Linked DNA regions of Arabidopsis thaliana. The protein of the gene in region 1 interacts with the protein of each later gene in a pairwise test. Each region holds a gene or a part of one and is shown in the gene's direction. Other genes may lie near its edges.

Region 1 (7,613 bases):
GTTGCAAGAATTTAATAAACCAGTCGAGTATTAAAATTATAATCAAACATGGGTAACTTGCTTGTCTCGTTAACACAAGATAAGTGCACACTTGTCTCAACCGACGACCGGAATCTATATTCACGTGTAGGAGGAAAACTTAGACTCAAGGACAACAATTTTGCCTAAATAAAAACTGTAGAAAGTAAGATTATGAATACATATACACTTGTACAAGTCATTCCGTTTTATGATACATTGCTATATCTTAAAGAAAAATTAAACCATTTTGTGTACGAGGAGAAAGAGTAAAATATGTGTGTTTGTATTGCGTACACAAACGTCAATATGTATACATACATGCATCTTTTTGATGTAGTTAACAAAATAAATTATACCAAGGAAAATTTCTATCACTAACAAAAACAAATTGTTTGTAAAGCATATAAATTGTTGCACTAAATAAAATCATAAAACGCTAGTTAATATGTCAACATGCGGTTTAATCGACCATCAGAGATATTTTCATTCATTTAAGATAATATCACATTTTTCCAATGGCCACTTAGCTAAATTACTCTTTGAAAAGTCATTATAGAAAATCATTAACAAATACGAAAAAAAAAAATACCACTAAAATGGTTAATCATTAACAAATACGAAAGATCTGAAAATTAGGAGCCGTAGGATCCGCTGGCTATAATTGACTTTTTCATCAGATGTACAAGTAGGCCTGAGTTGAACAAACACATCGTAACCGTACACGCATTGATCTGTCATCTAAGTTGTTCCGTCACAGCTCCGTAACTGAAACATAATCTCCACCTGTCACTATCGTCTACCAAATCCACGACAAAACCTAAATACCACTTATTAGTTTTCTTTAGTGGTTTATTAATCTGCAGAAATACGGCAACTTTTGTGGTTAGTCATATAAGAACAACCGCGTTACAAACTTCTCTCGTCTTTCCTGGAAATTTCTGTCCACAAATATTAGTCTTTAATTTTCGGTATGAACACTGACCCTTCCTTGATCTATTGATCTTTGTCGCAGTATTTATTAAGATTTTATCTCTATCAGACGGCTCTTTTGATTAATATTTTTCCGACTCTTATTTCTTATCTTCTTTGCTCAGAAACTTCTCTCAGGCGAATTCAAGTTTCATAGTTTTGGTCTAGTTTTTGTCCACCGATCTATCTCTTTAGGTGAGTTTTGTTTATTTTTTTCGGCTTTATAGTTTGTCTACGCTTCATGTTGTTGTTGTTATTATAATCTTGTGTTTGAATTGAGGTCTTTGATCTCGTTTCTTTCTGAATTTAGATATGTGTTATTCGGATTTCAGATCTTTTAAGATCTGGGTTTGGCTTTTTATACAGAAGAAAATGGTTTTGACTTAAAAAATTAGAGATAGCTCTTACCTCTTACGCTTGAGTCTTGGATCTGTTGATTTTAAAGCTTTATAGATCTTACCACAGTTAGAGAATTGTTGTTGACTTTTGTATGATGAGTTCAAATTTGTGAATTGAAGAACAGATCTGATGTTGTTTGTGTTTTTCTTTATATGAGAGGTTTCATTACCTTTGTTTTTAAGATCTGTTGAGAAAAGATCCATACTTTAGAAAAAAATCCAAACATTTGATCTTTTGTATTGGATATCTAATATGGATCTAGAATATAATCAAAGTTATAATGTTTTTGTATTATGGTTTGTGACAATTGATGTGTTATCTTTCTTCTTCTTTCTTGTTTTTTTCAGTTGAAACTTATCAGAATGGCTCGTCCACAAGACCCTCCACGTGGTTTCTTCCCTTTTGGAAACCCCTTCAAAAATCTATCTTCGAAGAACTCGGTACTCTCCTCAAAGCTTCTCCCACTCCTGAACAATTTTGAGACCAACTTAGCATCTTCTATTAGTAAGCTTGTCCCTAAGGAAAAGAGCGATATCCTGACTGTCTCATGGATGAAACAAGCTATGGAATCTCTTTGCGAGACACATAATGGTATCAAGACCCTTATAACCGATCTTGAGCTTCCTGTATCAGATTGGGAGGATAAATGGGTTGATGTCTATCTTGACATTAGTGTGAAGCTTCTTGATCTCTGCAATGCCTTTAGCTCTGAGCTTACCCGTCTCAACCAAGGTCATCTCTTACTCCAGTTTGCTCTGCATAACTTGGAGGCCAACTCTCCTCAGAATCTGTCGAAAGCTCAGTCATCACTAGACAGTTGGAAGCAACACATTGTCTCCAAGAACCCGAGAATAGAAAATTGCCGTGCAATCTTGAGCAGCCTTGTTCAGACCTTGAATCTCCCCAAGGTGAAAAACTCGGCCAAAGGGAAAGTCTTGATGAGAGCTCTATATGGTGTAAAGGTTAAGACCTTATACATCTCTGGTGTTTTTGCTGCAGCGTTCTCAGGTTCATCGCAGAATCTGATGTACCTTACAGTCTCAAACGAGCTTCCATGGGCACAATCATTCATGGAAGTGCAGAACACCATGAACGCAGAAATCAAGAACATATTTTTGTCAGACGGGTTAACGGTTCTGAAAGAGCTAGAGGCAGTTGCTTCAGGTGTCAAGAAACTCTACCCTGCGATCCAACAAGGATCAATAGATCCCATATCGCTGCAGCCACTGAAGGACTCGGTCACAGAATTATCGAATGGGATAGATCTTGTTTCGAAAGAAGTGGATTGTTTCTTCAAGATTCTGTTATCGGGGAGAGACACATTACTAGAGAACCTAAGGTCGATGGGTGCATCAACCCTACAGGCAACATCGCCAAAAAAGGCTGCCGGAAAAAATTACAGAGGATTCTGATAAACTATAAATGTTTGTACAGATGGTTTTACTTCAAGTGTTCCATCTTCTTGGTATTGAATGTATTATTAGGTTTTTGTGCAATCGTAGTCGTTTGTATGAGATGCTTTGAAAGTAGTAGTTGTATAAGTAAAGGTTTTACCAACTTATCTATATATATTATGAATATCTTTGAAGCTATCAAGATCCCAACATTTATCAACTGCTGCTAGATCCGTATTATCGACAGTTAGATCGAAAATTCACAGAGAAAAGAGATCAAAGACTTCAAATCAAACAGAAGATTATCAACTGCTGATATGATTTTCAATATACAGTTACATTCGACTAAAAGATTTTAAAATATATTACCGGTTTGATTTTCTTGTTAGCTAGATTATTACATTTCAGTTACGGTTTATTCTCGGTTGTGCAAAAATGAAGTTGAATTAGTTCGGTTCGGTTCGGTTGATATTGGGATTGAGTTTGTTCCGGTTACATTGACTTGTAGACCAATATGAAGTCGTCGTACTCAGAGAAAAGACGAAGAAAAAAGCAATGTCGTGTGTTGATTTTCACTCACGGGTCGTCCGAGAAGACGAAGACTCTTCTTCTTCTGATTTGCCCTTCAAAAGATCCAAACTTTCACACGTTATTCTTTTCCCTCTTTTTATAAACCCCAACAACCAAACAAGTCTCCAACACGCCAAAATCTCCTCTGTTTCATCTCAAGTTAGTTCAATTCAGAATCTTTGAGTTTGAACTTTTTTTTGTTGGGAGAAAGAGAGAAATGTCAATAGAGAAACCATTCTTCGGTGATGACAGCAACAGAGGAGTAAGTATCAATGGTGGTCGTTATGTGCAGTATAATGTCTATGGAAATCTCTTTGAAGTTTCTAAAAAGTATGTTCCTCCTCTTCGTCCTATCGGCAGAGGCGCTTCTGGCATCGTCTGGTTAGCATCTAAAACTGTTGTCTTTTTTTTTTGAGTTTTTAGCTTTAGAGATGAGACATTTTGTTAAAGGCTAAGTTTGTGCTCAAAACTTGTGATTTCTCATTACTAGTGAAAATTTTAAATATTTTCTATGTGATAAATATGTTTTGGTTGACCAAAAGAAAGAATTATTTTTCGGTGGGTTTTTGTAACTTTGCTACTTATCTCATAGTTGATTAAGAGATCATTGTGGTGAATAGAAGTTTTGAAGGATCATTTATTTATCTGATTTAGTGCTGCATGGAATTCGGAGACGGGTGAGGAAGTAGCGATCAAGAAGATTGGTAATGCATTTGGCAACATTATCGACGCTAAGAGAACTTTGAGAGAGATTAAGCTTCTTAAGCATATGGATCATGACAATGTAAGCTTTTGTCTTATTTTATTTATTATTCTCCACATGTTTTCTAGTAATTATCCTGATTCTGGAGTTTATCTCACAGGTCATTGCCATTATAGACATAATAAGACCACCTCAGCCAGACAACTTCAATGATGTTCACATTGTCTATGAGTTAATGGACACTGATCTTCACCACATTATCCGCTCTAACCAACCGTTAACTGATGATCATTCACGGGTACGCATTAACCTCTCCTGTGCTTCTTATAGCTCAAGTATCTTCTGTTTAGGTCAAAGTTTATAATCAGAATCTTTTTGGTTCGAAGGCTATGAAGTTGGGGTTTGATGTATAACCATAAATTTTATGTTTTTGCAGTTCTTCCTGTATCAGTTGTTGCGAGGCCTCAAGTATGTGCATTCAGCCAATGTACTGCATCGTGATTTAAAACCGAGTAACTTGCTCCTGAATGCAAACTGTGACCTCAAGATTGGGGATTTTGGGCTTGCGAGGACTAAATCAGAGACAGACTTCATGACAGAATATGTTGTTACACGTTGGTACCGAGCTCCAGAGTTGCTCCTTAATTGCTCAGAATACACTGCAGCTATCGACATTTGGTCTGTCGGTTGTATACTCGGTGAAATAATGACGCGGGAGCCGTTATTTCCGGGCAGAGATTATGTTCAGCAGCTTAGACTCATCACTGAGGTAAACTTTTCACTTTTTCACTTGACTATATTATTTCGTTTCAATTTGAAGAAAGAACATTGAACTATCCTGTTGCTACGTTTGTTCTGTTTTGGTTCTGTTTTTGTTGTTTGTAGTTTAATGAACAAACTCATGTATGGTTTATCTTTTTCATACACAGCTTATAGGCTCACCAGATGATTCAAGCCTAGGATTCTTAAGAAGCGACAACGCTAGAAGATACGTAAGACAGCTTCCACAGTATCCAAGACAAAACTTTGCCGCTAGATTCCCAAACATGTCGGTCAATGCTGTTGATTTGCTGCAGAAAATGCTCGTCTTTGACCCAAACAGACGCATTACAGGTAAAGCAGACGAAAACCTATATATGTTGCATTCTCTTTTGATTTTTTCTTTTTATAATACTTTTGAGCTTGTTTTGAGTTGCAGTCGATGAAGCCTTGTGCCACCCTTACTTAGCACCGCTACACGAATATAACGAGGAACCTGTGTGTGTGAGACCGTTCCATTTTGATTTCGAGCAACCTTCATTGACGGAAGAGAACATCAAGGAGCTTATATATCGTGAATCAGTCAAGTTTAACCCTTAAGATTCTTAGTGTGTGAGATTTTAAGAGAATCTTGAAAAGAAACTCGAAATAAGCTTTTTTCTTTCTCTGTTTGTTCATTGATTTTTTTATTTTATTTTTGTTGTTGTGTGTTCATTGAATTTCTGATATAGTAAAGTTTGTAATGTAAAAACAAAAAAAAAAGTCTATAAATATGAAACAAATACAAATTCTGAGTAAAGAAGTAACATGTCAAATAAATTTCGGCCCAACACTAGTCTTATCTGATTGGCCCAACACTAGACTGAACTGAAAAAAGTAATTTAATGCCTTAAACCTATTTTTGAGATTTAATTTCAGCTCTTATTGACTTCTTTTTATCACGACTGAAAAAGAAAAAACATATCACGAATATGAAGTAGGTTATGGTATGGCTAAAAACAAGAGAGTAGGTTATGGGTATATCACCTAAATATTTCTATCTTTTCTTTTTAAAATAAACTCGTGAACTTTTTACCTAACTTATCGGTTTATTATGAAAAGTGATATTGATATTCACACAAAATCAAATAAATTATAATCAAACATACTGAAATTATATTACCAAAAATAAGCATTGATCATTCGAAAATGGTAGATTTGACCGGTGCTAATAGATACAGTCAAATATTTTCATGCCGTTTCTTTGTTTGTAAATAAATAAATAAGTACATCCTCTTAATTAAAAATAAATTAATAGTTGACTAAAATATTCCTTTTTCCATAGGATAAATACTAATATAAAAATCTTTTCATCTGCTCCTTTGAAGAGCTTTTAATCTCTTCTCTGAAACCCTCCCCCAGTGACTCACCACCACGACAAAAAAATAAAAAAACGGCGTAGTTTCGGTTACTTCGTCGTCGTCTTCCTCATTTCGCCGGAAGAATTATCCGCCATGGGAGACGATAAGAAAGATCAGAAGCAGCTTTCTTCATACTTGAAAGCTAAAAACTTTTCATGTGATTCACATTTTTCATTTTATTGGCTAATGTCGAGGCTAATCTTCTTAATTCTCGCCATTCTCTTCTCTCTTCAATTCGTTTTCTACCCTTTAAATTTCATCTCCTCTTCTTCTCAACCTCTGATCAAATTCTCTGTTTCACCCGTCGTATCCGGATCCGGGTCGGTTCATGAACCGGACCAAACCGAACTCAAGCACGTCGTTTTCGGAATCGCCGCCTCTGCGAAATTCTGGAAACACCGTAAAGACTACGTGAAGCTCTGGTGGAAACCAAACGGTGAAATGAACGGCGTCGTTTGGTTAGACCAACACATTAACCAAAACGACAACGTTTCGAAAACATTACCTCCGATCAGAATCTCCTCCGACACGTCTAGGTTTCAGTACAGATACCCAAAGGGTCTCCGATCGGCGATCAGAATCACGAGAATCGTCTCGGAGACGGTGAGGCTGTTGAACGGAACAGAGTTGGAGAAAAACGTGAGGTGGATTGTGATGGGAGACGACGACACTGTGTTTTTCCCGGAGAATCTTGTCAAGGTTTTGAGAAAGTACGATCACAATCAGTTTTATTACATCGGAAGCTCGTCGGAGAGTCATATACAGAATCTCAAGTTCTCTTACGGGATGGCTTATGGAGGAGGAGGGTTCGCGATTAGCTATCCGTTGGCTAAAGCATTAGAGAAAATGCAAGATCGTTGTATTCAGAGATATTCGGAATTGTACGGCTCCGATGATCGGATTCATGCTTGTATGTCGGAACTCGGTGTTCCTTTGACTAAGGAAGTTGGCTTCCATCAGGTTAGTCCTCTGTTTTTATTTTATTTTCCTTCAATTAAATTTAATTTCCATTTGAAGATTTTTCCTACATTGTCCTTTTTTTGGGTGAAAACTTAAGTTTTATTTCAGTTTTCATAGAGTGTTTTTATTTTAATGTTTGAAGGGTCAAGATCTTAGCTAGGTTTTGTTTAGGAAACAGAATAACTTAAAAATGCATTTATTATTATTTTAGGCAAAGTCTTTAATCAAACTTCCATATTTTTCATTAACTCACTCATATCTTCTAGTAGATACCAAATGCAAAAGCCATTACAAATCATTTATTTTATTAGTGCATTCTGATTTTTTGTTTTTTTTTGTTTTATTAAGACTTATGTATATAACACATCATAATAAAACTGAAAACATTTATGTAATTTTAGTAAAATGTATATTTTGTATGGCGATAATCTCGGCACT
Region 2 (6,544 bases), 2.6 Mb from region 1:
GATAATTGTAAGTTTAAACTTCCATTTAAATGCAAGACTCTTATGTGTTTTCTTCTCCAGCTTTGCATGTATGATGGCTATGAACTGTAAATTAAAGATATATAGTGCTTAAATTATACACTAGTAGGTATGGGTTTCTGATAAAGAAAATGAATTTTCATATCAGGTGTATCAGATAAAAAGGAAATGAAAGAGACATCTCTTAGGATCTCTTCATTGTCTGAAATGGCTCCACGGGACGTCACTTCTCACACAGAAGCAGCTCTTGAGTCAGAATCTTCTTCCTTCAACTCAATGTCAGTGGCAGCAGAAACAAACCAATATTCAGGTGAATTACTGGATCTTGCAGATGCATACAATATCGTTGTAGGAAACGAAGGTCACTATGATAGTAATGGAAGACAACAAATAGAGAATTGGATGAAGAAAGATACGTCTAGAGTTAGCGAAGACCTTAAAGCACTTCTTACTCAAATATCAGCTTCTCGTGGGATAGAGTTTTTGTCACCTAGAGATGTAAGCCCCAAGATTTCTGTTAACAGTAGCGATCAAGAGACAAAGAACCTAGATCATGATATGCAGCTGCTACTTCAAAAGAGAATGCTTGAAAGGAACGAGAGTAACTTATCGTTGGAAGGAGTTTCTGTGACTGAAATCGAGGGTGAAAGTGAGGGTGATCGGTTGAAAAGACAGGTTGATTATGATAGGAAACTGCTGACTGGTTTATATAAAGAATTGGAGGAAGAAAGAAGCGCTTCAGCGGTTGCTACAAATCAAGCAATGGCTATGATAACGAGGTTGCAGGAAGAGAAGGCGTCATTCCAAATGGAGGCTTTGCAGAACCTGAGGATGATGGAGGAGCAAGCAGAGTACGATATGGAAGCAATACAGAGACTGAATGATTTACTTGTTGAGAGAGAAAAACTAATACAAGATTTAGAAGCTGAGATTGAATACTTCCGGGACCAGACCCCTCAGAAGAAGAATAAGCTAGATGTTGCAGAAAAAGTGACCGAGATGGATTCCCCTAGTGAGGGAATGAGCAACAAGATACAGAGTTGTTTAGTTGGGTTCGACGAAGAGAGATTATACATCACCAGTTGTCTGGAGAAGATTGAAAACAGAGTAAATGGCAAGGCTCATGACGATAATCTACCAGCACAAGAATCTGTTTCTGAGCTACATGAGAGAGTAGAAAGGCTGAAGGGAGACTTATACTTCCTAGAACAAGTTATGAATTCTCTTGGCCATGGAAATGAAGGCGTGCAATTTGTAAAGGAAATAGCTTCTCATTTGCAAACTCTGCGGAGTCTCAGCATGAAAAGACAAGATCAGACTGAGTGTTGATGTCCTGAGTAACAATCTTCACAAAGGTATGTTCTTTCCTCTTCCCTGATTGTTGTGTTGATTTTGTTCTTCAGATAACTTCACCTGCGGAAATTATAGCTCTTTGTACAAACATCTTATTATTCATATGTCGTTCTGGTTTTTTAATATGTTAGACACCTTTGTGGAGAGGATATTGTAGAGGAAACTAAAAGAAGTTCAAGATTCAAGAAGCTTAAAGAAACTGTATAGCATCGTCTTCATTGCCTTCCCCTTTCGTATACGATAATCTCAGAATTCTTTACGATTTCATTTTTGGGTTTGGTGTTCATAATTTCCTTATGGGTTTTCATATTCTTTGTGTTTATTTTGCATTTTTCTTCTAGTTTTGAGTGAAGAGTGAATGTAGGTTTTGTTCTGAAGTTCTCATTTGATTTTTTTTATTAGGTTGGTTGATACTTTTGTTTAGCATGTCAAAAGTCATGCAACTTTGTTAAACTTGTTGTACATTTCTTCGTTATAAACTACTTATACGTAATGTCCTTTGTTAAACTCATATTTCTTTGTTGGTGTTAGGACCTCGAATTTGGAAAATAACAAGAAGGTTGATACGCATAATACAAACTTACAAAAGACAATTAAAAGAGGAAGAGAAGCCAAAACCTAATATCTAAAATATTTTCTTACTGTTAAAGTAGTGATATCTAAAAAATTAAAAACTGTCTTTGGCGAAAAAAAAAAGGGTTCAAGAATAATAACATGTAAGACCACCATGCATCATTCTTATTTCTTCTTTTAGTTTGAACTTCAATAATCCGTCCTCCTCTGTCTTAACCAACTCCTTAATTAATCTGTCTTAAGCTTCCTTAATTTCTACAACACTTCCTTTGTCTCAACCAAATTTGTGTAGTATCATTCATGTCCCACTCTTGTACATCTCTCACTTCTATGCTTAATTGGAAGATTGTATCACAGAACATGCCACAGCTTGTGCCCAATGCCTCAGTCTCGTTTTAACCTGTTGAGGATCATCTCCTGCAAATTTATAGAATATAACATCAAAACACAATCATATTATGAAAATATCAATCTGACGAAAAAGTTTAGGTTGCTATGTTACCTGGAGACATAACCTTCAAAGAATCAGAGTCGCTTATTGGACTACCAAAAGAGGAAGATCGGTCTCCGAGGGAAGTAGGACGGGAGGATGAAGAAGATCCACCACTGCCTGGTGTAGAAACCGGCGAGATCTGACGAGTCACAGCGAAGTAAAGGTCCAATGCAGGCAATGTAGTTGTAAGATGTTGCCCTTGCTCCTCGTTAAACCCGAACCCTAACTCAATAGATCCTTTGAGCTCACTCAAGTCCTCGTCCGTCAAGTCATCTCCTCCTTCGTTATGCTTCTCAAGGTGATGGAGCATCTGGCGACGGCGACGCTCCCATGCGATGTCTCTACGGGTCTCTAACATGGAGAGTTGCTTCGAGAGACGTTTCTTAGCCTTAGCTTTCGGTGGTTCCAATGGCATCTTTTGAAGCTCTTCTACTTCGCTGTCGTAGAAAGATGACGACGATGAGGTTGATACACTCAATGCTTCTCCAACCCTCACCATCTTTCTCTGTTGTTAATATAAGAAATCGCAGGCACGTTTATGATTATCAACAAGGGGCAGAATATTTTTGTGATGATGTGCCTTGTTGTACAAGTTAGCTCATGTAAGCGAGGAAAAACAGAAGAACTTGAATAGATTAGTGAAAATCCCAGAACTCTGATTCCCTTTAAAAAATGTTCATCCCGGAAGAAGAAAAGGGGTAAGAAGTTTTTTCTGTTTGGTTTATTTTATTAATGTACAGAAGGAGATATGTTTTCTGGTGAACTTTAATGGTGTGATATTACAAAACACAGAAACAATGAGTTTCTTCTACCACACATTTGGTGTTGTTTAAAAGTAGGGTTTGTAGAATTTCCATTTGCCATTTTTAAAGGGATCTCTCTGTTAATTCCCTGGGGAGATTCTGGAGCTTGATTGATTATGGAGACAGAATCCAAAAACAAACCTTGGTGGTTTTTGTTGGAATAACTAACTCTTACTTGATATAGGTTTTGTTCTAGAAATTTTTGGTGTTGTTGTTGGTCGAAACATATTACTAACACTTGCAACTAACAAGATGGTATAACCACTAAACTAGTACAAGTATCATTTAGTTAATTAAACATGTTAGTATGTTACAAAATTTACGAATCAATAACGAAATAAGCAAAATAACCAATTCCAAGCCAAGTGGGACAAACTCGACCGAAAAGACCAAAAATCAATCATAATTTGGTATCAAAACCATTATACCGGGAAGTACCAGAATAACTCGGTTGGGCCTAGCCTCTAATAAAAATCGGTCGGGAAAGAAACTCACAACTCTCTCTCACACAGCAACGTTCTATTGAAATTTGGCCTGAATCCCCAGAGTGCGACGAAAATGCAGCAGCAAGTAAGAAAATCATCTCGAATAGGAGTAATTTATTTTGTTAGCATCTTCTTCAATTGATGCTAATGGATGGTTGATGATGATGTTGCAGGGGAGTAAGAGTGGATCTGAGATGGAGGTGACATGGGAGGACCAGCAGAACATTAATATCTTCAGCCGTCTCAACAACAGAGTCCATGACCTCGATGACGATATCAAATCCGCCAAGGTTCTCTCTTTTATGTATCCTTGATTTTTTCTTCTACACGATTCTAGGGTTTTAAGATTAGGTTTTATTCATGGATTCAATTCGCTATGTTGCATCGTTTAGGTGGTGGAATACTGTGATTAGATCCAATCCCGTAATGAATTCACCAAATAATGAATCTACTACACATCGGTTTGCTCTCAGCTAACTGATTAACTCCTTGTTGATGAAATGAAATCAGCACTGCTACAACCCGATACAAAAGCTAATTACAATGATCCTGAGAGTATATGATAAGTGTTGTTGGTCTAGTGTAGGATCATGATTAAGATTATTTGAGATAATTCCTGATTTTATTGATTGTTGTAAATTGTAATTTTACTTCATTCAGATAACCCCACAAGAGAATCTCTATACTCTCATATCTCATTTTACATTCTCTTTAGGTTGTACCAATCTACTGTAACCTGCTTATACCATCCGTGCACTCTTACATATCACTGCTCCCTTAACTTTCTCCTTCGTTGGTGAATATAAGCCTGCTAGGGTATATCAGATCACTGTAATTAGATATTGTAATGGTGTTGATAGTTCAGCATGTGTAGGAAACAAAAAGGGAGATGTGGGACTTTGCAATAATAAGTGGATACTTGTCTTGTTCAATCGTTTCATTAGGGGGATTAAAACAGCATTCTACTGTGTGTTTCTGCATCTAGCTTGATTAAAAAACAATTGATTTATGCAGGAAAAGTGTGAAAATCTAGAGGATGCAGGGAACGAGTTGATCCTTGCTGATGAGGAGATGGTGCGTTTTCAAATAGGAGAAGTGTTTGCTCATGTGCCGAGGGACGACGTAGAAACAAAGATAGAAGAGATGAAAGAAGCGACCTGCAAAAGCCTTGAGAAACTCGAGCAAGAGAAGGAATCAATTGTAACACAAATGGCAGCGCTGAAGAAGGTATTGTATGCTAAGTTCAAAGATTCTATCAATCTTGAAGAAGACTAGTTAGTAGTTATTCCCAACTTTGTTTTTCTTCTATTGCATCAGTTTATGATTCTACTGTGAGTGTAGACCAAAGGATTCTTGAATTTAACATACTGGTTTTGTTCATTATGAAATTTCATCTGGTTAATGCATACTTTTCTTTTTCTATCGGAAATTATGTTTTTGGCAATTCTATAAAATACCATAACACCAATTTGTTTTTTCCCAGAATTTGTATACATTCAAACAAAATGAAACACACACGCCAAAATATAAATACAAGAATCTTTGGGAAATCCAAAATACAAAGCCCTAAATTGATTCCCTTAGCTTCTTCAATCAAAAACCCAAGAAATTACGAGTAATTCTCCAAACCGGTTTACTCAAATTGGGGTATAACTCGACGGTGGCCGGTTACCAGAACCGGCAGACACCAGGCCACCACGGCGAGCACTTTCTTCATCAAGAAACAAATCATCGGTATTACGAAAAGCGCCGTGAGCTCCGACGATGAGCAAACCAATGATCAGCGAAACCAGAACGTTTTCGCCCACATCTGTATATACCAATGCCAAAACCGTTACCAAGCTGAGTAAAACCAGCACGATCTTGTCATCTACTTCTTTCCCCGAAATCACAATCGAATCGTTTGCGTCTCGAGAGAAATAGAGAAGAATCCATCCGATGAAGACGACGATGAAAGCGATCATAGACATCGGATGGTAAATAAGGCCGAGGAAAACAATGGCGAGAACGGCGAGAGCGTAATTTCCACGGAAATAAGAGATGTTGTGCTTTAGATGCGCCATGGCTTCATCATACCCGCGAGGGAGAGAGAGCGCGGACAGATCGAGAATCTCTCGCCATGGACGGAGCGTCGTGATCATCGATTGCGTCGTCTGCTTGGCGCGTGCACTCAACGTCCCGATGATTGTGGTGTTGGAAGTGGAAGAAGGACCGACTCCTCCACCACCAGCGCCGCCATAACCGTACGGCGGAGGTTTCTGATTCATCGGAATTGGTTGATTTTGTGTTTGAAAATAACACAAATCTGTGGTCAAATGGCAAAACCTTGGATTTCAAAGAGTCCATGTGGAATATGGGATGATGGGAGGGACTTGTTCGGTGATTATTATTTTCTTTTGGGACCTTGTAGTTTTTTTATTATTACAAATAAACCATAAACAAATCAACTTTTACCGATCGCCTCTATTTCCACATAATCATGAATCGTCATAGTTTTTGTAAAATTACAGAATTGTGATGGATCTAAGTCTTCTAATGATATTTTTGTTTTTGCTGATCTTCTAATCTTTAATCGCTAGAGAAGAGATATCGTTATTAATGGATAAAAAATATGTTGAAATCTTTCGAACCAATAGGTTCTCTTTAGTGAGTATCTGACTGAATAAAAAATACCAACATTTCACGTCGGTAGGCTTCTTAGTGATGCCTGAATTATACAGAAGAAATTGACCGCCAATTTTCATATATACAAGAAAAAAAAAAAACAAGTAGAAGCTTCTTCATCATCATTTATCTCTTTGCTTTGGTTTCGATTGGTT

What was found. The genes of interacting proteins can lie anywhere in the genome.
Region 2: the proteins of MPK11 (region 1) and AIP3 interact in binary tests that used the Arabidopsis thaliana proteins (3 or more experiments, as listed by UniProt).

What each region holds. Positions count from the first base shown.
Region 1 is NC_003070.9:198,775-206,387, forward strand, and holds MPK11 (MAP kinase 11), read left to right. Parts: upstream 1-3,336; 5' UTR 3,337-3,570; coding exon 3,571-3,734; intron 3,735-4,007; coding exon 4,008-4,137; intron 4,138-4,216; coding exon 4,217-4,354; intron 4,355-4,492; coding exon 4,493-4,825; coding exon of another isoform or gene 4,826-4,888; exon of another isoform or gene 4,889-4,985; coding exon 4,986-5,169; coding exon of another isoform or gene 5,170-5,254; coding exon 5,255-5,415; 3' UTR 5,416-5,666; downstream 5,667-7,613. Other genes in the region: BPS1 (BPS1-like protein (DUF793)), read left to right, coding at 1,752-2,801; AT1G01570 (transferring glycosyl group transferase (DUF604)), read left to right, coding at 6,309-7,175.
Region 2 is NC_003070.9:2,808,381-2,814,924, reverse strand, and holds AIP3 (ABI3-interacting protein 3), read left to right. Parts: upstream 1-3,611; 5' UTR 3,612-3,798; coding exon 3,799-3,810; intron 3,811-3,898; coding exon 3,899-4,015; intron 4,016-4,739; coding exon 4,740-5,000; 3' UTR 5,001-5,147; downstream 5,148-6,544. Other genes in the region: AT1G08800 (myosin-binding protein (Protein of unknown function, DUF593)), read left to right, coding at 1-7, 167-1,347; AT1G08790 (1-phosphatidylinositol-4,5-bisphosphate phosphodiesterase epsilon-1, putative (DUF1685)), read right to left, coding at 2,279-2,361, 2,447-2,936; PRA1.E (prenylated RAB acceptor 1.E), read right to left, coding at 5,363-5,992; AT1G08760 (GPI-anchored adhesin-like protein, putative (DUF936)), read right to left, coding at 6,516-6,544.